3 linked regions of the Arabidopsis thaliana genome follow. The protein of the gene in region 2 purifies or fractionates together with the protein of the main gene of each other region. This does not show direct contact. Each region holds a gene or a part of one and is shown on either strand. Other genes may lie near its edges. The genes, in order: AXS2, AT3G62510 and AXS1.

What was found.
Region 1: the proteins of AT3G62510 (region 2) and AXS2 fractionate together in Arabidopsis thaliana (co-fractionation; one large-scale study listed by BioGRID). This does not show direct contact.
Region 3: the proteins of AT3G62510 (region 2) and AXS1 fractionate together in Arabidopsis thaliana (co-fractionation; one large-scale study listed by BioGRID). This does not show direct contact.

The regions. Positions count from the first base shown.
Region 1 is NC_003070.9:2,572,234-2,581,078, forward strand, and holds AXS2 (UDP-D-apiose/UDP-D-xylose synthase 2), read right to left. Parts: upstream 4,612-8,845; 5' UTR 4,377-4,611; coding exon 4,101-4,376; intron 3,954-4,100; coding exon 3,861-3,953; intron 3,737-3,860; coding exon 3,629-3,736; intron 3,164-3,628; coding exon 3,049-3,163; intron 2,968-3,048; coding exon 2,834-2,967; intron 2,745-2,833; coding exon 2,643-2,744; intron 2,547-2,642; coding exon 2,454-2,546; intron 2,361-2,453; coding exon 2,225-2,360; intron 2,139-2,224; coding exon 2,026-2,138; 3' UTR 1,585-2,025; downstream 1-1,584. Other genes in the region: VPS41 (vacuolar protein sorting 41), read left to right, coding at 1-44, 263-344, 433-909; AT1G08210 (Eukaryotic aspartyl protease family protein), read right to left, coding at 4,886-5,046, 5,124-5,195, 5,277-5,343, 5,631-5,724, 5,807-5,880, 6,082-6,244, 6,632-6,859, 7,201-7,445 and 2 more. UniProt on the Arabidopsis thaliana protein: Together with AXS1, catalyzes the conversion of UDP-D-glucuronate into a mixture of UDP-D-apiose (UDP-Api) as the main product and UDP-D-xylose to a lesser extent, via a cycle of oxidation and reduction.
Region 2 is NC_003074.8:23,120,008-23,126,592, reverse strand, and holds AT3G62510 (disulfide isomerase-like protein), read right to left. Parts: upstream 3,763-6,585; 5' UTR 3,741-3,762; exon of another isoform or gene 3,405-3,740; intron 3,258-3,404; 5' UTR 3,256-3,257; coding exon 3,133-3,255; intron 3,038-3,132; coding exon 2,819-3,037; 3' UTR 2,802-2,818; downstream 1-2,801. Other genes in the region: AT3G62500 (F-box protein RMF), read right to left, coding at 4,105-4,123, 4,227-4,313, 4,399-4,464, 4,552-4,621, 4,719-4,826, 4,926-5,096, 5,209-5,241, 5,316-5,432 and 1 more; AT3G62499 (YTH family protein), read right to left, coding at 6,444-6,585.
Region 3 is NC_003071.7:11,862,010-11,870,361, forward strand, and holds AXS1 (UDP-D-apiose/UDP-D-xylose synthase 1), read right to left. Parts: upstream 4,990-8,352; 5' UTR 4,835-4,989; coding exon 4,559-4,834; intron 4,401-4,558; coding exon 4,308-4,400; intron 4,207-4,307; coding exon 4,099-4,206; intron 3,820-4,098; coding exon 3,705-3,819; intron 3,630-3,704; coding exon 3,496-3,629; intron 3,408-3,495; coding exon 3,306-3,407; intron 3,197-3,305; coding exon 3,104-3,196; intron 3,015-3,103; coding exon 2,879-3,014; intron 2,788-2,878; coding exon 2,675-2,787; 3' UTR 2,268-2,674; downstream 1-2,267. Other genes in the region: HDT4 (histone deacetylase-related / HD-like protein), read left to right, coding at 76-88, 533-603, 696-916, 1,029-1,048, 1,133-1,168, 1,262-1,320, 1,412-1,553, 1,649-1,698. UniProt on the Arabidopsis thaliana protein: Together with AXS2, catalyzes the conversion of UDP-D-glucuronate into a mixture of UDP-D-apiose (UDP-Api) as the main product and UDP-D-xylose to a lesser extent, via a cycle of oxidation and reduction.

The sequences.
Region 1 (8,845 bases), on a different chromosome or scaffold from region 2:
CTTTACATTGTAAATATGGTCCCAAATGGCTTGGAAATACCTCGGTTAGTTTTAACTATTACCCCTCATTGCTGTTACTCTATTCATGAGTTGGTTCAATCACGTGTTCTTACTTAAATAAACATCGACCCTCATCTATGTGATGCCAAACCTGTTGGTTTACCCAAAGCTAAGTTCGCACACAGAGCATTGGCAGAATCATATGCTTCCTGAACACTTTTCATCAAAATAATGTTCTCCTCATTGTTTCTTCTGCTTTCAGATTAAGGGATCGATTGGTCAAAATCGTAACAGATTACAGAACTGAGACATCTCTTAGACACGGTTGCAATGACATTCTCAAGGTACAAATTTAATGTCACCAATGTCCCTCTAATCATATATATCTGGAACAGACTCCAGGGAATTTGACGTGTGGGGGTTGTTGTACAGACGGATATTGTTAATCTTCTGGTCAAATGCTTCAACGAGGCTAGGCGTGGGGTCTGCCTGAGCCATGAAGACGACGATTCCCGTGCGAAGAGAGAAGACAATAATCGCTCATCATTCTCGCAGAGAATGGTAGTAGATAAATCTTTGAGCATAAAGATGACAGAAGTGAAGTCGAAGACACGGGGGGACACACGGTGTTGTATGTGCTTCGACCCGGTCTCGATAAGAGGGGACACTGTAGTGGTCTTCTTCTGCTGCCATGCTTACCACGAGACGTGCCTCATGGATGCAGCCTTCAGTAACAACAATCACAAGACAACCAAAGGTTCTTCGGGGTATGAATATAGCTACGATAACGGTGTGGATGAGGAGGAAGAGGATGAGGAAGAAGATGAGGATGGTGATGGAGACAGACCTGGGCGGTCGCGTTTACGGTGCATATTATGTACTACTGCCGCCGCTGCGTCCGCTCGGTAGCGACCCCTTTTGTGCATGTGTTTGTGAAGTATTTTTGGTGTGCTTCGAACATATATATATTTTTTTTTAAAGAAGAAAATGTTCATTGTTTGTTCTGTAGTTCTCTAAAATATAGCAAAAAGAGAAAGGCGAGAGATGGAGAAAACATGTGTGCCAGAATTTGTGCCTTTGTATTATTTCCCGATGAGTGGCCAAGTGTTACGATTGAATTGACTTTGAGTTTTTTACAAAGGCCAAGTTTGTTTCTCTTCCTTCTCTTTACGCTTAGTTTCTAAGCCCATACCTGAAACATTTACATTTTTTTTTTTGGCTCCTCTGTCCTCGATCTACAAAAAAATCGTCATTTCCGATAATTCCATTTTCAGTGTACTGCTTCTTGTTGTTTGTCGTTTAGCAGAGAGTAAAATATATGTGACAGCTCTCTTGTTCTTTGATCTTATGATCTTATTTTTGTTTTGGTCGGCGATCTTGTCATCTTTTTTTTTTTTTTTTAAATACATGATAGCTAATTCACCGTTTCCTATGAGTACGTTTTTTTTCTGAAATATAGATTGGGAAACAAATTTTGTAAATAATTTTCTATAAGTGTATGAGCACCTATGCTCTGTTTTTCTTCTTGAGCTGTAATGCTCTGTTTTTGTAGTACTATTTTATTCTATGTTTCTAATAAAAATGTTTAGACGGCAAAAAAAAAAGACAGACCTTAGGCATTTCTAATTAAGGTATATATTCACATAACACAGCAACACGAGCAAAAGCCAAACTAACTCGTTTATTACAACCAGGCAGATATAGAAGTGAAGTGTGGAATCCGCCAAAGATATGTAACATATAAAGAAAGCCCCAATGTTATAGTTTGCACAAACCATTCCCTTTTTAGTTTCGGACAAATACAAGATATAAAGCTTCAAAACAAAGGAATTCAAAAACATTAACAGTAATACTATATAACAAGGAAAACGTAAACTAGAATCAACCACCATGATATATCATTTGTTTAGAATGGCCTAAAATAAGGGAAGAGAAGGTTTCTGTTGGGAGAATTTTTTTTTTAAAAAGAAAGAATGGAATCGTAGCCACCACATGATTTGAGGTGTTTGTAAAGAGAGACGACCTCTAAGATGCGACTGGTTTTGAAGTGGCCTTCTTAATGGCTTCCGCATAAGTCGTGTGCTGGTATGTTAAGGTCGATTCAAGCAAGTCCCAAAGCGACGTCTTCGGGTTCCATCCTAATTATTGTCCACACCAGAGTATTTATTAGAAAAACATTGTGACTGTTAGAAAAGACTAATCAGACAAGAAAAGAGGAAGTTACCAAGTTGACGGTTGATGATGGTCATGTCTGGGATTCTCTTGTCGCTGTCATCATAACCTTCTCCATAAAACTCTTTGGAGCTCACGTCGATCGTTGGACTCTCGATAGCTGTCTCTCCACTCACTTTGGCGTAGACCTGTCCATTTTTTGTTTTGCAACATTTGAGCGTGTGCTATAATAGTTTTATCGAAAATCACTCAGATTCTTATCTATGACCAATTTTTCTCACCTCAGTCATCATTTCAGCAAGTTGTCTCACTGTCACTTCATTGTTTGGGTTGCCTACATTGAAGATATGCCCATTGGCTCTCTCTGGATTTTCCTGGTAAAGAATTCCGCAAGCAATTCAGATGCAACTTCTTTAATAATATAAAAACAAACGATATATCACCAGGGATAAGCAATGAATGAAACTCACGATCATCAAAAGGACAGCTTCGATAGCATCTTTGATGTAGATGAAGGTTCTCTGTGATTCTCCACCATCCACAAGCTTGAGAGGCTCCCGTCGCAGAAGATTCTGAAAATACCCACCAAAAAGTTAAACAAAAAAGTTAAGCTGCAGCCATGAGAAGAACTCAGGTCATTGGACTAAGCCTGTATACTTACGTTACTAAAGCACGCTAGAACCCGTGGGACACCCTCGCTAGGACCATCAATGCCAGGGATGAAATCCATCCTAGGTCCAATCCAGTTGAATGGTCTTACAATGGTGAACTCGAGTCCATTCTCAGCACCCTCAGCTGCAACCAGAAAAAAGTGACGTGAGAAACTTTTTTGTGTCTAGAAACAAAAAATTTCTTTCGTGTAAGAAAACTACATACCGTAAACAAGTCTCTCAATAAGTTGCTTTGCACAAGCATATGACCACCTCTGCTTCTCAATTGAACCAAAGATGCAAGGGGATATATCTTCTTTGAGTACATAAAATTCAGGATCCTGTAGTAAACAAGACGAGCATCATTGGTGAGTAGTGAAATAATAACAAAACACAGAGACAAAAGTAGTAATAAGAACCACGTGACACGAACGAATATCTACTTGACATAAGAAAGTAAGGCAAAAAGTAAAACAAAAGACTCTCATGCAGTAGTTAGGGCTCAAAGCCATACTCAGGTAATTGCAGGAAAACAAACTACATTTTCTCGATATTACAAACACTATTAAAGTGGATAGTGATAGGCTTATTATAACAAGTTTACGTTACTCTTTAGATCAGTAAACAAGACTTCATATAACAACAATAACTGCATTAGTATATAAATTTCCGTATCAATCTTAAGTGAGTGTGCCAATGTACATAATTAACATAGTTTCCTGATCCTCTTGATAACGACAATCAGCAAAAAGTGATGCATAAGACAAATGAAATGATCAGAGTGAAAAAGGGAGAAAAATACTGACCTGACGCAGAGGATGATCCTTTGGAAGAAAGCTTCCTATAGTTTTTCCATACACTTCACAAGTGGAAAAGTGAATCAGACGCTTGTTGTTCTCTGAGCAGTATTTAACCTACATACCAAAACCAATGACCACTCAATGTCACAACTAAAATCCGTATCACATAAAAATATTCCTCAAACTTACAAAATTGCTCCACTAAACCAAACAAACTGCAAAAGCATAAAATACATACCACTGGGAGAGCATCAATGAAATTGCTGTAGATAGTGTCAAGAGGACGCGTATTGTAATCTGCTGGAGTACAGATCGCAGCTAGATTTATCGTCTGCAAAATCCAAAACAACAACAACAGATTAATTAAACAAGACATCCACAATTCGAAATTCGATTTCACATAACGAATCAGATCTGAGTCTTCACATTCAACATTTTCACATTAACGATTTACTAAGAAGAAACGAAGAACAAATACCAGATCTGCCATCTTGATCAGTCCTTCAAGTCTAGAATCATGCTTAATGTTGATACGATGAAACTGGATCCGACCAGCCCATTGAACGGTATCAGGCTCAAGCAAGTGCTTGATCTTATCATTGTAAACATCAAGCGCAAGAACCTTGTGAGGAGTCTCCGTCATAAGCTTCTCACAGAGATGAGAGCCAATGAAACCTCCGGCACCGATCATGCATATCGTCATCGGCTTAATCGGTTTACCGTCCAGATCCAATCTATCGGCTCCGTTCGCCATATTTTGATTGTGTCGGTGAACACGCGTGATCTCTCTCACGCTTCTACAGAGATAACAATGGGTGGAAGAGAGATTTGTGAGAATGGGAGAAAAGAAAGAAAGAAATGAGAGATGGATATTTAAAGGCGTATAATAATGTTCCCTACACTCTCACAGCCTTGCACATTACTCCCACCACGTGAAATTAATGTTTTCGTTACGTGTCATATTCTCTCTTAAGTCAATTATTATGAATCTGCTGATTGTTCACGTGAAATCTATTTTAAAACTAGTAGATTACAACTACAGTATATAGTTTCAATTTTTTTTTGGGTATGTTTGTTGCTTTACACCGACATGTAAAATTGTGCTAATTCGTCGGTGGCCTTAGTGGTAGATAGGAGGTTGATTAAACAGAGAAACGAGAGAAGTGGTGGGTGGGTAAGTAAGAATTAATTAGTGTGATTAAATTACAATAATATAAGCTTACAAAGTCCAACCATAATTGGTGGAGTGAATGCTAAAAGCTACTACAAGAAACGAGCAAAAAGGTGGACAAGGAAGACTACTAGTTGTAACAAGTAATAACTTCTATTAAAACTCTCCGAACCGCTTTCTCTCCATTGTCCTGTGTTTATAACGTCTTTGCTTCGTCCTCCTCTTGATGCTGAAACATTCACCTCCAGAGAACCTGGAATGGAATTTCATTATCTGCATTTGTATTCCAATTTCGTTATTGCTCTGTGGTAAAATAGATAACACACTCACAGTCGTATTCTGCCCATCCAATACGTTGGCGAACTAGATCGTAGACCACCACTTTGTCTTTAAGAACCAAATCTGCAAAGCAATCACTCATTGAGAAAAATAGCTGCACTGTTACAGTTTCACTTGATTGAGTTAACAAACAAGAGTAGTTACCACCAAGAATTGTTATACGACGATGAGACATTCTCTGGAAACCAATGCACCATATTGAACTTCCTGACTGAAATAGCAAAAGAAAAATTATCATATCAAATTTTTCAAACTGTAAACCTTAAGAGAAATCCACACCCAAAACAATCTGTTGAGACATCCTTATAAACCCAACGTCCCAGCCCTCACTAACGGCTCGCTTACAAACCCCTAACACCTCTAATCTGCTAGATACAGTCTTAGGCTAGATATAGTAGACGTATAGCTAAGAGTTGAGCAGCTAAACTTTTTCAAAGCTTATCATTGACACACTAAAAGACAATTTATGAAGTAGTGTAAGTGTATGAATATGCTTACACTAGAAAAAATCTGAAGATATGCACGGGGTCCTAAGACCATTGATGCACCACCAGCAAAGCTCAAACTAACTTGGGGAAAGACATCAACGTCACTGCAACATGGAGATCTTTTTAGCACTTAAGCATAGGAGATAATAGCTTCTTATATATACATACACATGAGAAGAACTTTACCCAGCTGTGATTTCAAAGCATTGGTAACTCTCATAGGTAATGGGACGCCCGTACTGCGAAACAGCATTTGCAACCTGCAGGTTGAACGTTTTATAAATCTTCTTTTTTGTAAGGTCTAATAACATATATCGTCTACATCGAATTGTAATTTCATTCCAAAAATGTAACATTTGAGGACAGATACTTTCAACAATGGCAAAAACTACTGAATATGGTATACACGGTTTGGTGACTGAAAAAGCTGAAGGTGAACTGAGGAAGAAAAAAACACTCACAGCTTGGATGAATGGACTATAAGCTTCGTCGGGAAGATAAGCAAGAGTCGTTCCCGTATCAATTATCGTTCCATCACCAGTGGCTATTGTGAAAACAGATGGATCAATCGGTAATATCTGACCGTTCACAGCAATGCTCTGCAGGTTCACATTATAATGTGGCCTGAAATATTTTTTTGCAGCATATTATCTGAATCAAGACGTGGGTTTATATATTTTGATTTTCCTAACCCAAGATATACGAACTGCATATTATTTCCATAGAGTCAGCTACAAAATGTCTATTTCTGGATCATATGATTCCTACAAGCAGAATGATATAGCAGATATTGTAACAACTCTCGCATTTATATCTGTGTAAATGACTTTCATAATCATCAGTTAAACCCTGGATCTACCTCCTTGTCTTATACAAAAATAAATCTAGGAATCCTACCCTAACATTGAAGTCTGATTCATCATGATGTTAAGTACCCCAAAATCTACCTGTGCTTCTCTTTACGTAATATGATAAGAGTTTAAATGTATAATAGAAAGATTGAGAACTCACTGTGATGGAACAAGAGGAGTATAGACGGTATCTGGCCTCTTGATTTGACCTAGAACCATTATACCTCCACCGCTTTTATCTCCCTTCAGACAATGCGAGAATACTCGTGGCGCGAGTCCTTGCACAGCAAGCTGAGAAATTACTGATAAACTCCCTTGTCCTAACCCAAAGATGCCATCTACTGCTCTTCTAGGCCTCTGTAAATCTCCAGATTGTAAATTGCTACACCTGTTAGCAATATTGAAGACAAGCATCACATATTTTGAAAGTTGAAACAGTACAGAAAAGATGATTTGGAAGTTAGATCATATTGTACTTCCTGGTAGATGTTAATTACTTAAACATAAAACTAATGAGTGTATTTGATAGGCAGAAATATTGTTTCTCATTTGGCCAACATTTTCTCCCCCCCGAAGATGCAGTCATTAGTTAAATTTAGAGAAGGCAATGCACCATACTAAAGAAATCATCATTATCGAAAGGGGATTCCAAATGCAAGATAAAACCTATGGGATATGTACATATATATAAACCCCACGTAAATACACAATTCTTTGCTGTTAGCTTACCCAAAAACAAAGGGAGCAGAGGAATTTATAGCCAAGGTACTGGTAATAACAGTATCAAAGGACATGAAATCTGAGATGTAGTAACCAGAAGTGCCACTTCCATCACCGTACTTAAACGAATAGGAACAGAGATTGTTGGGAGAACAGCCTGATTCTGTCTGGAAATTTGAGTAACATCTCCTGTCTGAACATGAAACTAATGAAGCTGAGGATGACACTCCAGGATCAAAGAAACTTAGTTGAATCTGAAAATCCAAAAAAAAAAAACACAAAATACAGGGAAAACAAGTGATCATTTAGACAAATCATAAAGCTAAAACCAAGACCATGAGGAAAATGTTTTAAAAGCTAATATGCTATAGAGGAAAGTTAGCAAGAAACATACTTGGAGTTCGCTAGTCTTGGGGCAGCCATTGCAGGAAGTGCAGCTAACCCACAAAACATCACTTCCAGTGTCAATTTGAACATTAAATTCTCTTGGTGGTGTCCCAAGTTTAACCTTTGTGTAGTAAAGCCTGTAAATAACAGCAAGATTCTATAAATAGGAATGGGAACAAGAGTCAAATATCTCTAAATTCGTAATTGAACACATGATGAGACAACAGTCTAGAAGGTTCATTTATTTATAATCCAAAATGTTCCCTGATGAAAAACTGCGTCGAATATTGAAGACAAAATCGAATCGCATTACTCAGCCTAACCAGAAACAAATTGGTTAACGACTTAATTCAATTCAATTTTGTTGGGCGAAAAAGTTTTCAAATCCAAGTCCAGAGACAATTCCATGGTTCGAAAAAAGTGAATATTCTATTTTGTACTTTGGAAACCAAAAAATAGAAAGAAAAATTCGAAAATCGGAATCGAAAAAATGCATAAGGAAATGGATAACAACAGTAGTAGTACCCGACGAGAAACGGATCGGAGGCTCCATCAACCGGGAAATTAACAACACCGCCGACAGGAGACTGCAATAACCTTCCATGGCGAGCTGAATCAAAAGCCCTGAGCTCAGTCAGACCAAGTTCATGGTTCGGCGGAATCAATCTCTCCAGCTTGAGAACCGCGTCGGAGCCGCAGGCCAAGGTTGTCGCAGCAAGTAAAAGCACGGCGGCGATGATAATAACTCCAGCGGGAGAATCCACCGCCATTTCTGGAGTTCGAACTTTCTCTTCCTGGGGAAAGAGAGAGAAAGCCGCCAATTGAAACGTTCTGATAATATATTCTGATGACAGTACTAAAGTTTTGCACATTTTCGTGATTAGTTTAATTAAATGTGGAATTAAGATTTGCATAAACTATCCTTTTTTGTGTTAGTCATTATGGCGTGTTTAAATTTGGCATTTTGGTAATTATGATTTTCACAAGTTCATTTTTATTTATTTAAATGTTCGGTGTTGAGTACTAGATAGACTGATGTAATGTGTCTGAAAGTACTGATGTAATTCATATGACGTGTCCGAAAGTACTGATGTGATTCATTGATTTCCGTTGACCAATTTACCCAAAATTCACCAGAACTCAGAAGTCTACGACACCAACGGCTTTATTTGGAACCTAAACTAAACGGACATCCACGAGGTAGATATTTGGCCTTGTTTTGTTTCCACTTTTAACTCAAATTGTATCAGAAAAAGATTTAGGTCAT
Region 2 (6,585 bases):
CTGAACATTGTAAATACCATTTTGCGACGAGGATCAAGTACACCAGCCACTATCAATATCTTATTGATTTTTTCTGTACCTTCCCAATATTTGTCAAACTTGGCCGTCATTGCAGAAGCCATCTCTCTCAAATCAGAATCTTGGCTAAAAGCCATTTTTTGCACACTTGACTGAATTTTGCAGATCTCATTGTAACAACCATTTGACGTCACCTTTATAGAAGAAGAGAATGCTAAAGTCGAATCATAGAAAGCTTTCAAGAACCTTACCATATGACGAGCATTGTCCCAATCAATTGCCATTGGAGGTCCGTCCCTCTTCTTTTTATTAGAATCAACCTCTTTGAACCATGCATCATAAGGTTTATCCATATCAGCCATCCTATCAAATGCAACTTTATACTTAAGTGCACTTTTCAACATCAAGTAGGTAGAATTCCACCTAGTAACACAATCCAATACCACACTTCCTCTTGTTATCTTCTCAACCTCCACCCAACGCTTAAATGATTCCAGCCTTGAATTAGAAGTCCTCACATATTTTACAGCATTACGAACACTTACGATGCTATTACTTATATCTTCAAGACCTTCATTGGCAATCAAGTTAAGAATGTGTGCACCACAACGTATGTGCATAAAATCACCATTCATCATCAAAGCATCACTATTTCTGTTACTTAGCCTCTCTTTCAAAACAGTATTAGCTTTATCATTGGCGCTTGCGTTATCCACAGTGATAGAAAATACTTTCTCAATACCCCAATCATCCAAAGATCTTAAAAACTGATTGGCGATGGTCTTTCCCTTATGATCAGGAATAGGACTAAAACTAATAATTCTTCTATGCAATTGCCAATCCATGTCAATAAAATGAGCAGTAACGACCATATAACTCAATGTCGTAATAGAAGTCCATATGTCAGTGGTAAACGACATGGCCTGCCTATTACGACTTAAAATAGTCTTCAATGCAGTTTTTTCAGCTCTGTACAGACCAACAACATCCCTAGTAATTGTTCTTCGCGATGGAATAGTAAACCAAGGGACAGCCATCTCACAAAAATGTTTAAACCCATCATTCTCCACAAAAGAAAACGACAACTCGTCCATGATAATCATTTTCACCGTTGCTTGCCTACACACGTTTTGATCAAAAGGTTTTATCATGCCAGCACCATTACCACCACCACTAGAGACTATGACATTCTGAGAATTAGATTCAAGATGATCCAAATAAGCTTTGCACTTTCTCATGTGTGTGTTCATATTGCTGGTTCCACATGTAGCAGGATTACATGAATAGATTTTACCACAATAATTGCATGAGCAACTATTATCATCATCTTTCAACCTCGTAAAGACTTTCCATGCTGTTGATCTTGTAGGTAGTTTTCTTTTTGCCTTTGGCGACACTGTTGGAGACTCGGGTTCTTTTCTTTTATTGCTAGTCGTGTTTCTTTTAGACATCTACAAACAAAACATGTATAAAATTGTTAGTCAATTGAAAGAATACAATTACGTTTCTATTAAAACATCTTTCATTATTAGTAAACTAAATAAACATGTATGATCTGTTTTCTTGCACGAAAATCCATTGATTATTGGTATGAATGCTAAAATATATTATATATATTGTAAACAAACAAAATCACCCAACCTACATGAAACCTATTCTTAAAAATTAAAAAATCTAAGTAAATAGAAGAAACAAGACAACGCAAACACAGATTTTTCTTTTCCATGACTTTGCGGTGTACGTACAGATTGAAAAAATCATCATATACTCATAATATTTAACTAAAATTGAGATGAGCGTAATTGTATTGCTAGAGAGTAGTTAAAAATCATACCGTGGCTGTAGAGAGTAGAGAGAGACGACGGAAGAACAAATGAAACGAAGTTAGAAGTAAACCTTAGGTTTTTACTTTTTAGGGTTAGAGTTTTAGTTAGAGATAAATAAATATTTAGAGTTATTTGTAATATTATTTATAGAATTAATTAATTAAGTATATAAAGACATTGGGTTGTCGGTTCGGTTTGGTTCAAAACCGAACCGAACCGACCCATTTGGGTTGAGATAAAATACAACCGAATTGTTTGAGTCTTAGATTGGGTTTGGTTTGGATCGGTTTGAGTTCGGTTGAGTCGGGTCGGTTCGGTTCGGTTCGGTTAAAATGCCCAGGCCTAAGATTTTGCTCTTATATAAGAGACAAAATACACTCTTAAAAAAAAAAAACTCTTATCAAAACTCTTAACTTCAAAATAAATTATAAAATTATTGTTAAGAACATTTGCTAAAAGCCCACCAATGTGGATGCTCTTATATCTTCATCATTGTTTTCTTTGTTTGCATGGCGTTTACTTTAGATATGCTACTTACTACTCATAAATTCTTTCCGGTCAAACGAAGCCAATGGCTTTTCCCATGTCCTCTCATAACAGCTTTCAGTTCGGGATCAGTCTCTGCATTGTACAACTCATATCCGGTAAAAGTCCATGGACTCACTATTCTCAAGCTGAGACGAATTCAAGAATTACAATTTTTTCTCGAAACCCTTCTCCAACTCTGTACACTCAACGTCATTACTCTCTTCCTATACACAGGCGAAACAGAGTCCTATGTAACCACACAAAACAGAGTTTAAATCAAATTAAGCAATATAACCCACGAATCAAGTGAGACAGCAAAATGAGATAAAATATCTGCAATCTAGAAATTCAGGAGATTGATAGATCAAACTACTTAAACATTGCTAATCCACAACCACAAACTAATGTAATAATGATTGTTTTGATTCAGTTTTTGGAAGCTTTAACTAATCCATCTTTTCGTGTTCTTCCTCATCATCTTCTGCTAGTATCACCAACCCTGAACTATGAAGTCTTCCTTTGTCCTGTCTCCTTCGTATACTACAACGTTTCCGCTCGCTGACCTGAACTATGTCGTCAAGGCTCTCGGCGACAACAAGCTTCACTGGTTCGTTGTTCTCAGCTGGAATAGGTTGAGAATTTTTGTGGACAGCAGCTTTTCCATCCTAGAGAAAACATTTTCTTTGGTTAGGTTATATTGATTTCATATATACTTCTTTTACATAAAGCTTGTGTGAATGTGTGAAAAAGAGAATGAAACCTGGAAGTCCTTGACCCATGATTCAATCTGGTCAACCTCAACCTCGACCATATTCATCACCATTGATGAAATCAATATCATAAGTATTGACATCTTTATCACCATTGTTATAGTTCTCCTCATCTCTGCAAAAACTCTCTAAACGAAAACAGAGTAAGAAGATAGTTGACGAACACACTGCTTTTGTACTTTGTATTAGAAAACAAGCTTAAATTAGGGAAGCTGCGGCAAAACCCTTAAATTAAGAACCACTAAGCAATAGAGGGTTTAGCTCTAATCAGTTTCAAATATAACATCCTTCAAAACCAGTAAAGGATTCATTGTTTACTAAACCCAAATCTAGCATTCAACAAAATCCAGTAAAAGACTCCTCTTTAATCCATTCCAAACCCACAAAAGACAAATCTAACACTGAACAAAGACCAATGTAGTTTTCACCTTAAATCAGTTAAAGAGCCTACCATTCTGACGAAATCAATAAACCACAAATTTGGAGACTAGTCATTTAGATAAAACTGATACTCTTCTACATATACAGATACATATAGTATCAAAGTCTTCATGCAAAGCCATTTTTCTAGAGGTAGCATTGTGTCTTTCACTCTTACGCTATCTAGTATCTACAGCCTGTATGCCGTTCCCATTCACTTGGTGACTGCTTCCTTGACCCACATGAACCACACTTGCACTCAATTCTGAAACAATAGTTCAAAGATTAATGTGTTGGTCAAATCTCTAAAACAACAAGACAATGATAACAGAAACCTAGGATTAAACACGGATTTTTTATCGTTTTCAGAGAAAAAATCAATTTACGATATTGTGCTGCATAGTCATAATTCATAAACAAATAAGATCCTTTCTAAATGAAGAAATTGAAATAAGGCTGAGACATCTAATACGTACGCATGAAATGCTCTGATATATGTTCCTTCCATGCCATTACAGACTACATTAATCTCATCAGGCAGCTCAGTCTGTGTCGCCTTTTCTGTAGACCAATCCCAAAGAGGTTGTGAGGAAATCTCGCATATTATAGCAATGGAGAAATGCAAACAATAAAATCAGGAGAACATGAGAAGTTAACAATATACTTGAACACTGAGTTCTGTTCTTCTAATATTGATAAGCTCATGCTGGACTTTACAGTTAGGGCAATAGTAACTGTTGTGCTCCAGTTCCTTAAGATGATAACCAAATTAGTGTGATAGTTCAACAAGCGTGTTCATTACTTAGAATCAAAAGTTAAGATGCATGAAGGTGTACCTTAAAGCGCTTATATAAATTATTGTCGCACCCATACGGCCATACATCACACTCATCACAATAAACCTAATACATCAAATCAAGTCAGCTAAATAGATGTAATCATTTCTTACAGGTCTGTATTTCACCAAACATGGTCACATATATTCTCACCCAATCTCCATCATTTGAAGGGCTGCCATACTCTCTTGCAAATGCCACAATACTGATTGGATTTCCGCAACTGAAACAACAAATTTGGATTCAATTCCTTTTGGCAAGAGAATTATTTGTAATTGTGTTTTCTAGATAAAGATGGTTGATGATGCAAAGTTATATACCTTCGTTTTCTCGCAATCTTGTGTGAACAGCAACTGCATGGGGTGCGATAACTGCTTTAGGTTGGGAAATATCTGGCTGTCCGGTCCAAGACTTGAGGTTGAGAATACCTATTATAGAGGTTTCATGTGAAATTTGTATGAGACAAAGGAGAATGATTCAAAGAGGAGAAGTAAAGGAACATAACAGTAATGAAGATTTGAAGTTACCTGAGGATGAAGATTCTTTATGGTGTTTGAGGTCAAATATGGCTCCACAAGCTGCACTTGCGTTTTTCTGCAACTTATGAGATCCAATCAGATTGTAGTCCCAGCTTCCATCTTTGTAGCCTTCACTAAGGAAGAGTTCAATGTGCCTAGCATCAAGAGTTTGCATTGTTCCTACATAGTAAAACAGAAACACTCTTAGTTGCAATTTAGTTATTGCAAGAGATCAATACAAAAGTTTCAGCAACAGATTAGAGTTGATTAGTGTCTTTTACCTCACAGGTACTGAGGTCACAAACAGGTCGCACAAGCTGTAAATCTGGAAAATGAGATAAGCCATATGTTACAGTTTTTCCTGCAGTTGACAAAGTTTCTGAAGATCATGAATAAGACATTTTTGTAACATCCGTTCTATGGTTCCTTCCTTTGGGACTTTCAGGCGACCACTCAAACTCTCAGTCAGGAGTGAAGTTCGAGAATCAAGCACAAAGGCACCAATCGGCATCCAATCTATAATTACAGTGTAAAAAAAACAGATAAAGATGAGGCTGTGATCAGCAAATGAAGTACTTCAAAGTCAAAGATCTGTACAATACATCTATATTTAACACGACTTTTTGACAATTGACAATTTTTTTCCATTTAGAGTACCCAAAAAACATGACACGTATTGCGCCAGGGACGCAATGTTTCAAGACCCCATCAGGCGCTTGTACCACAGCCGGCCCAGACAAGATCGCCGACTGTAAATTCCTCTGGTTTGTACACGCCCTTACGCGAGGCGTCGGACTTTTTCGGCATACCAAAGTTAGCATCCCAGTAATCGCAATCTACTTCGCTGCTGTCTTCGTTATCCTTACGTGGAAACAGCTTCGGGTCTTTGCTTCGATGCAATTTCGAGCTTCCCCAGATACATGTCTCCGTCGACTCTTCCTTGCGACTCTTCAAGGATTTCCATGTACCAACAATGGAGTCCCTGAACCTTGAAGGAACCGCTCGAACTCTGCCACGCGAAGACTTGGACTGGTCAGAGCACACTTGTTGAGATTCTTCTCTACTGGTCAAGGAGCTTGAGCTACTTGTTAGAACTCCGGGTTCTCTGCTACATGGTTGATCAACGCTTGCTCGTTGTCTCTTCTTATACACCATAATCTCACCCTTTTGGCTACCATACTCAATTTCTAAATCAATTTTGCACCGCTTCAGATTCAGATTATCGAATGTCGTCAAAATCCGTTTCAAAATCATGTCCTATCTCAGCTATTATCGCGTAGTCAACATAAACGACTATTCAAATTCCGATTCCAAACCCCTAATTTCATTAAACAAAACAGATTCGCACTTCGGACCTCCGGGAAACAAAAACTCGCAACGTTTCAATTCCTTTAGCAAATTGGCTCAATAGACAACAAACCCAATGCGAAACCGCTTCTTCAACCCTAAATTCGAAAACGAAAACCAAATTCTCGTTCTCTCAGAGGATAGAATTAAGAAATCAAACGACAGAGAAATCGTAAAACTCTAACACGCAGGAGAAACAAACCAAATCCTCCTCGTAAATTCCTTGGAGAAATTATCAGTGCTTTCACTACGGAGAAGATAAAACCTTAAAATCGACGGCGAAGGAAGACAAAAGAGGAGGAGAAAGATATTGTGTTCTGAT
Region 3 (8,352 bases), on a different chromosome or scaffold from region 2:
TTTGTTTGTTTGAAACAAACTCTAAAACCCTAAATTCTTCTTCTCAAGCAGCCACATCTTCCTCTTTCACTAGCTATGGAGTTTTGGGGTATGTCTCTCTCAAAATCATATCTTTATTAAGTTCTACTGAATACCTCAATGACTCCTATTGACTGTTTTCGCCATTAAAGTTAATCATTTTGGTATTCCTAAGTTCGTTCTGTGATTAAAAATCTGGTCTTTATACAAAAGCTTGCCTTTCTTCTGTATTGAATTCTCTCTATTACTCAATACGCATTTTCTTGTGTTCAAAACTATACAATTGTTTGGGAATATTAGCATTCTTAGTGTTTAGGTTTCAATGCATCTATCTTTGTGAGGTTATGTTTCAAAGTATCTATCTTTAAGAGTTTATGTTTCAAAGCATCTATCTTTGTGAGTTTAGGTGTCAAAGTATCTATATCTTTGTGAGTTTAGGTGTCAAAGCATCTATCTTTGTGAGATTTTGTATGAATTTGTACTCAAATGTGTGATGAATAATGTTCAATTTTAGGTATCGAGATTAAGCCAGGGAAGCCATTTAAGGTGATACAAAAAGATGGATTCATGGTCCATGCCTCTCAGGTCTGTATCAGTTTTGTAATTCCTGCAAGTTTCTCTCTTTGTGTAAATCCATGATTGATATTGATTGTGTTACTTGTTGTAACATCTCTTAGGTTACCCTTGGTGACGTTGAGAAGGTTAAAAAAGATGAGACTTTTGCCGTTTATGTGAAGATTGGTGATGATGAGAATGGGTTTATGATTGGAAATCTCTCACAGAAGTTTCCTCAATTTTCTATTGATCTCTACTTAGGGCACGAGTTTGAGATTTCTCACAACAGTACAAGCAGTGTCTATCTTATTGGTTACAGGACCTTTGATGCTTTTGACGAACTATATCCTTTCTTTCATTGTCTTTTTCTAGTTAAATTCATACTCACTTGCAATTTTGAAGCTTTGTTTGTTTATCCTTGATTTTGTTTTGCTCTGCTTTTTTCTGATGCTCACGGATGAGGAGATTGATTCTGGTGAGTTTATAATTCTTTAGTTGATGATTTGGTTTACTCTATTATGAAGCTTGAAGCTAATCTTTTGCTTTTTGGTTTGTGTAGATTCTGAGTTAGATGAATATATGGAACAACAAATTGGTATGTTTACTTTTTTTACTAAGCTACTGCTTTGTGGTAGTCATATTTACATGTGTATCTCTTATGAAATCTAACTTTGACATTGTTGAAAAGCTGCTTTGCCTCAAAATGAGATCAATCCTGAAGAAGATGATGAATCCGACTCAGATGAGGTAGATTTTTCTTTTAAGTATTTACTGATTAGCAATGAATCAGTATAAAAAAAAAGGTAATCTTGTTGTTTTTTTCTGTATGTTTGGTTAGATGGGTTTGGACGAGGATGATGACTCTTCAGATGAAGAAGATGTAGAGGCTGAAGCACCTTTAAAGGTGGCTCCTCCGAGCAAAAAGATGCCAAATGGTGCATTTGAGATAGCTAAAGGTGGAAAGAAGAACAAGTCATCAGGTAACGAAAACTAAAGTTAAGATATATAAAGATAACTTTGCATATGAGATGAGAATTGTGGATTATTGATTTGGTTTAAAACCATTTTGGTGCAGGAGGGAAGAAGAGATGCCCATTCCCTTGTGGTCCCTCTTGCAAAAAGTAGAAGATATTTGCACACCAAGTCACATTTTTCCAATAGAAATTTTTACTTGACTGTATTGGTGAATCGTTGAGTGACTTATGAGGCTTTTGGCATCTTAAAATTTTTGGATTATTATAATATATGTTATGTTGTCATTTTGGAGTGTTAATGGGTTTAAATGAAATATGATTTTTGCTCTTTTCAAGTTCATAAAATTTCGAAGTTGCTGGCTGATTCATGATAAGTACTATACAATGTCGATATGTTATGATCTAATCTTGATCGCAATACTAAGTAGATGGAGTATATTAAATCAGAAATAGTTGAACTAGAATATGCTCTAACAATGTATTTTATGTACATGAGTTAGAAAGAAAGAAAAAAAGACTCATTTTCTTCTAGTTTGCTTTGCCTTCATTGAATTAAAAATTCAGTGAAAACAATTCAAAATATAAAAATAATGATAATGCGTCTGCCGGGAGTCGAACCCGGGTCTATTGCTTGGAAGGCAATTATCCTAACCGTTGGACTACAGACGCTACTTGTGATTTATATATTACAATTTAAAAATAAAATCGAATTTAATTGTCGAGCGTTCCAAAACTACTAGACTTTCTTTCATACTCTGTAGTCCACTTGTTTTTTTTCTGAACGAAACACAATGTGTTACTTGACAGAAGATAATTACATTTGTTCTTGTACTTGTACACATGTAAAACGAAGCATTTTAAAATATACACTCGAACATTTATCATTCGCTACAAACGATTAACCTCTTGCTTTCTGACAGCTCCGACATACATGGCCAAACAAACCAAACAAAAAGAGAAAACTTACAAACGAAAAGGTATACTTGGAACGAACCACCGTGATTATATCGTTTTCTTAAAAAGAAAAAAGAAAAAAAGTTTTCTCTGGGATGAAAAAAATAGAATCGAATAGAGTAAAATGCCAAAATGACGCGTGTTTAACGAGTTTCGTTGGGGTCTTGGAGAGTTTAGGAAGCCACTGGTTTGGATGTTGCCTTCTTCACAGCTTCAGCGTATGTCCTGTGCTGGTAGGTTAAGGTCGACTCGAGCAAGTCCCATAGCGATGTTTTCGGGTTCCATCCTATTTTCAAAGTCCAAAATTCTATCAGAATAGCAATTGATTTTGATTTTAAAGCATATTATCTATCATGTTGGTGATTATGAAGAATTACCGAGTTGGCGGTTAATGATGGTCATGTCTGGGATTCTCTTGTCACTGTCATCATAACCTTCCCCGTAAAACTCTTTGGAGCTAACATCAACCGTTGGGCTCTCAATGGCTCCTTCTCCACTCACTTTTGCGTAAACCTGAAACATGATTCGTTTTGAGAATTGAGAACCAGCGACAGAGAAATCAAACTATTTTCATAGTTTCCTAACTGATCCATCTTCCTCACCTCGGTCATCATTTCAGCGAGCTGTCTTACTGTAACTTCGTTGTTCGGGTTGCCTACGTTGAAGATGTGCCCATTTGCCCTCTCTGGGTTTTCCTGAACCACAAACATACAATGTCATTATAGGTTTTAGTTGAAACTACTTCGAACTTCTAACATTAACAGTTTGTAAACAAAAAGCTATATATCAGGCAATGGAACGTACAATCATCAAAAGGACAGCTTCAATAGCATCATTGATGTAGACGAAAGTTCTCTGTGATTCTCCACCATCTACAAGCTTGAGAGGCTCACGACGTAGAAGATTCTGAAAGATAGATAGAGATGCATTAACTAAAAGCTTGCATATATACACAGACTAGCATTGGGTTATATACTTGGATTTGAACACTTACGTTACTAAAGCAGGCAAGGACACGTGGGACACCTTCGCTAGGACCATCAATGCCGGGGATGAAATCCATCCTAGGTCCAATCCAGTTAAAAGGTCGTACGATGGTGAACTCAAGCCCATTCTCAGCACCCTCAGCTGTCACAAGAAACAAGTGAAGTTAAGTGTAAACCTTTTGTTTTTACCAACATCATCTTAAACAGAAATGCTTACCGTAAACAAGTCTCTCAATCAGTTGCTTTGCACACGCATATGACCACCTCTGCTTCTCAATTGAACCAAATATGCAAGGGGAAATATCTTCTTTAAGAACATAGAAAGCAGGATCCTGTAGAAAGGCACAACAAACAACATCAGTAAACAGTGAACCCAACCTTAGACGAATAATATCAACTATTCCAAGCTTCTATGGGTGTGTGATAGACTAGCGGACTAAAGTCTTAATTCAATTCAAAAATACGTTTAACGAGATCCAATGAGTAATTCATAATGTGGCTATTAAAACGAACGAAAACGTCAGCTTCAACATGTTCCTCAGTACATTCATCGATGAGATTGATAAAAAGACAATAACATGTGGAAAGCGAAATGTACAAAAAGGCATTACATCACGCAGAGGATGATCCTTAGGAAGAAAGCTTCCAATGGTTTTTCCATAAACTTCACAGGTAGAAAAGTGAATGAGACGCTTGTTGTTCTCAGAACAGTATTTCACCTAACAAAACCAACGCATTACACAATCATCACTGTCTCCATCAACTTCAAAAACAAGAGCTAAAGCAAAACAATGAACGAAGCTAAGAAGAAAACACATACAACTGGAAGCGCATCAATGAAATTGCTGTAGATAGTATCAAGAGGACGTGTATTGTAATCAGCTGGAGTACAGATCGCAGCAAGATTTATAATCTGCGAATCCAAAAAGAAACATCAGAATTACATCACAACATCACCGATCTCAATACATTGCGAAACATCTGAATTCCGATAACGAATCAGATCTGAGACTTCTATCATAAACACCGAAGAACAAGAGATCAAAAAACGAAATCGATAAGCATTTTTACCAGATCCGCCATCTTAACAAGACCTTCAAGTCTCGAATCATGCTTAATATTGATACGATGAAACTGGATCCGACCACTCCATTCAACGGTATCAGGCTCAAGCAAGTGTTTGATCTTATCGTTGTAAACATCGAGCGCAAGCACCTTATGTGGCGTCTCGGTCAAGAGCTTTTCACAGAGATGTGAACCGATGAAACCTCCGGCGCCGATCATGCATATTGTCAACGGTTGTATCGGTTTCCCGTCGAGATCCACTCTATTAGCTCCATTCGCCATTTTTTTTCTCAGATCAGAAAAAATAATCAAGTTCTCTGTAGAGAGAGAATCTAAAGAGGAAGAGAGAGTGGTGACGGTGGATATTTAAGAGAGAAGATGCATCGCATGTGAACGGAGGCAAATTGGTTCGTCGAATTTTGAAATCTCACTCTCTGTATCGGCGCGTGGTGTGTACTCGCTTCCACGTGATCTCGTTTAAATTGGAAAGGATGCGATATTTTATTTGTTCGACTAATCATTTTGTATGATTATTAATTATGAATGTTTAGTAGTCTAATAATTGTGTTTAAGAGTTAAGAAAAAACTTCTTTTTAACTAGATAAATCGTTCTTTGTAACTTTCGATTTTTTTTTTTGGGTAAGCCAAGGGAGACAAAGTCTCCCAAGATTTATTAATGAAAAAGAAAATTACATTCGCACTTGACGTGAAACCGTAGCTCCACTAGTGTCATCCAACAAAATAAAACGTAAAGAATCCGGAACCAAACTAAGAGAATGAAAACCTAATGGTAACGAAAATGCATAGTTGGCTAACCCGTCAGCAAGACGGTTAGCTTCCCTATAAACGTGTGAAATACGGACTCTCCAGTCCCTTGATATGAAGTCATGGCACAATCGTACCAGGAAAGACAGCGGATGTACCTCGTTTATCCCTATCTTCAAAAAACCCACAACAATCTCTGAGTCCACCTCAATCTCTAACCGTGTGACTCGTCGCTCCCAAGCAATGTAGAGGCCATAGTACACTCCCCATAGCTCTGCCAAAGGTGCTGAACAAACTCCAATGTTCAGAGCAAAACCTCCTCTCCAAGCTCCTTCCTCATCTCGTAGCACACCACCAGCAGACGCTAAACCCGGATTACCTCTGGAAGCCCCATCCGTATTAAGTTTCCACCAACCTTCCTCGGGTTTCGACCACGCGATCAGTCTTTCCACCCGTTCTCCATGACCCCCACTCAGTGTCCTGACTATCACATGAGCCATGGACGTCTCCCTAGCCAGATCCTTTAAGAAACGCACCCGATCTCGACATTTGTCTTGAACACCAAAAATGTTGCCACACCGCCATTTCCAGGCCCACCAAATAGACAAAGCAAATAAAGTTGACCAAGTACTCTCACAAGTCTTCCGCCTATCACCCAGATTAGCAAACAACCACTCCAATAACGATTGTGTAAAGAACTCTCGGCGCTTACCCGCAGGAACTAAGCGGATCCAAATGCCTTCCATAGCAGGACAATCACGAAGAATATGTATGATTGTTTTTTCAGCTCCTTTACAGATTTGGCAAATGTCCGAATCACTTAGATGCCTCCTCCTCCTCTCAGCATTCGTCATCAGAACTTGCTGCATTCCAAGCCATAGGAAGAGCCGCACTCTCTCCGGTACCACGACTTCCCATACTCTCTTGTAATTTCCGATTGATATCAAGTCAAATTATTAATTTTTATATTGAAAAGACATTTGGAGTATTTTTTTTGGGTTATTATTTCTGATAAAATCAAATTTACATTGAGAAGAATGGCTTTGGGGAATCAATACAAAAAGTCTTTTCTACGTAGAAGAAAACTTGACCCAGCAACATTAGAGATTCCATTTTGCATTACGAAACTTAAACTGGTTAGGAAATAATTTAATTATTTGCCCAAAAAGGGAAATAATTTAAACAAAATATGATTTTATTGACGTTATTTTAATTAAGCTTCAGTCTTAACTCTTAACTCTTAAGTAGTTTCTTAAATAGTGTGTCAAAAAAAAAAGTAAGTTTCTTAATACTGCTTCTAATTTGCATGTCGTAGTATCAGAAGTTTTTTCAACAAAAAAATCATTATGAAGAGAGTTTATATGAATATCGCTAACCATTATGTGGAATTGTGGATAATGGATAAATTTTGAGAACTAATTGGATTCATGTGTTGCCTCACAGTGAGCTGACGACCGTTCGATCATTGATATACATACACATATGATGAAAAAAAGATGCTAATTTCTCGTTGCTTTTTTTTTTTGGTCTTTTCAAAAAAGGATTGAGACAAAAAAAGAAGAGAAAAAATGATGAATAATTAGGTACCTTTCCGAGAAGCAAAACCCTCGAAACTCTCATCAAATATCCTAACCATACCTTTCTTTAAAATTTGGATTTTGCACAAATCCATTTACAAATTTAATTACTTTTTCTTTTCGTAGGTATATATTTATTTATACCTTTATAAATATATAACTTTATAGGAAGAAGTATCGTATAGTACTACTTCCTACTCGCTATACAATAAATAATACAATGCGAGGTTGTTTGTTTCTTATCACAAAGTTGTACCCTATGCAACAACATTCATATAATCATCCTTTTCCCGAGCATTTTGACTGATCAATGCTTCAGTGCTTCTTCATTATCATACAACACGTTCCAACCAAACTTGAATCATGTATTTTTCCCAAATCCCAAGTTACACCTAAATGATACCAAAGATTACAAATACAACTAAACATACTCCTAGTTTTTTCTTATGGAAAAGGAAAATTAAGAACACTAGTTAGATGCAAACAAATAAAAGGAGAAAACAATAAAAATATATATATATATATATGAGTGTCCGAATCGAACGAACTGAATAATGTGGAATAAGTTTGATTCGGGATAGGTTTTGTTTTCTGAATAATCTGCAAAACTGACAAACCGAAATCGAATAAACCGGTCGGCTCAAAGTCTCAGGTTTAGATATAGCCCAAATATGATTGCAAATCACTTAAAAGTTATACGGACACCACTATTTGATCAACATAAAACCATGTTCTACAATAAAGATTTAAGAATTTTAAAAATGGGTTGGATTGGCCTGAAACTGGATTGGAAAAATTGGTATTTCTTCCTTTAACTAAATGGCACACGATCAATTTCTAATTTCTCCAAAAATACCATTTCTTTTGGTATTACTAGGTACTAGCCCATGAAGATAAAAGAATTCATTTTACTTTATTTCATTCTAGTATATTTCTTGAACAATTCTAATGCAATTTCAATGTCTTGACTATACTCTTGATCCTCCAATCGAATCCACAAGATTTTCTACCAAAACCGCTTTACGACTTACACCTCAATCGTAACCATCCATGAACTTAATTCGGCCAAAATCGATTATTCTATTTGGCACGTTATGTTATGGACTGTTCATATACGTACCACGTTCCAAACTCGTTTGTATCTAAAAAGGAAAAATTATCTCACATTAGTGATTTTTTTTTACTTGCATCAACTCTATTACTATATACTAATATATATTACCATTACCATTTTGAACGCGTTACATAGACATTATTTAGTCATTAGTCAAATCCCTTTACTATATAATCCCATTTGAAATGTAAGAATTTTGAATGTTGACAGATGCAAATAAGGATTAGCATACAAAATTACTTTGTAACCCTTATTTACGTGATAAAAAAGTTTAGCCTATCGTTCCACTATTAAAAACATGAACATGTAAAAGTTGAATTTTCTATCTTTTCTTGTATCAACTA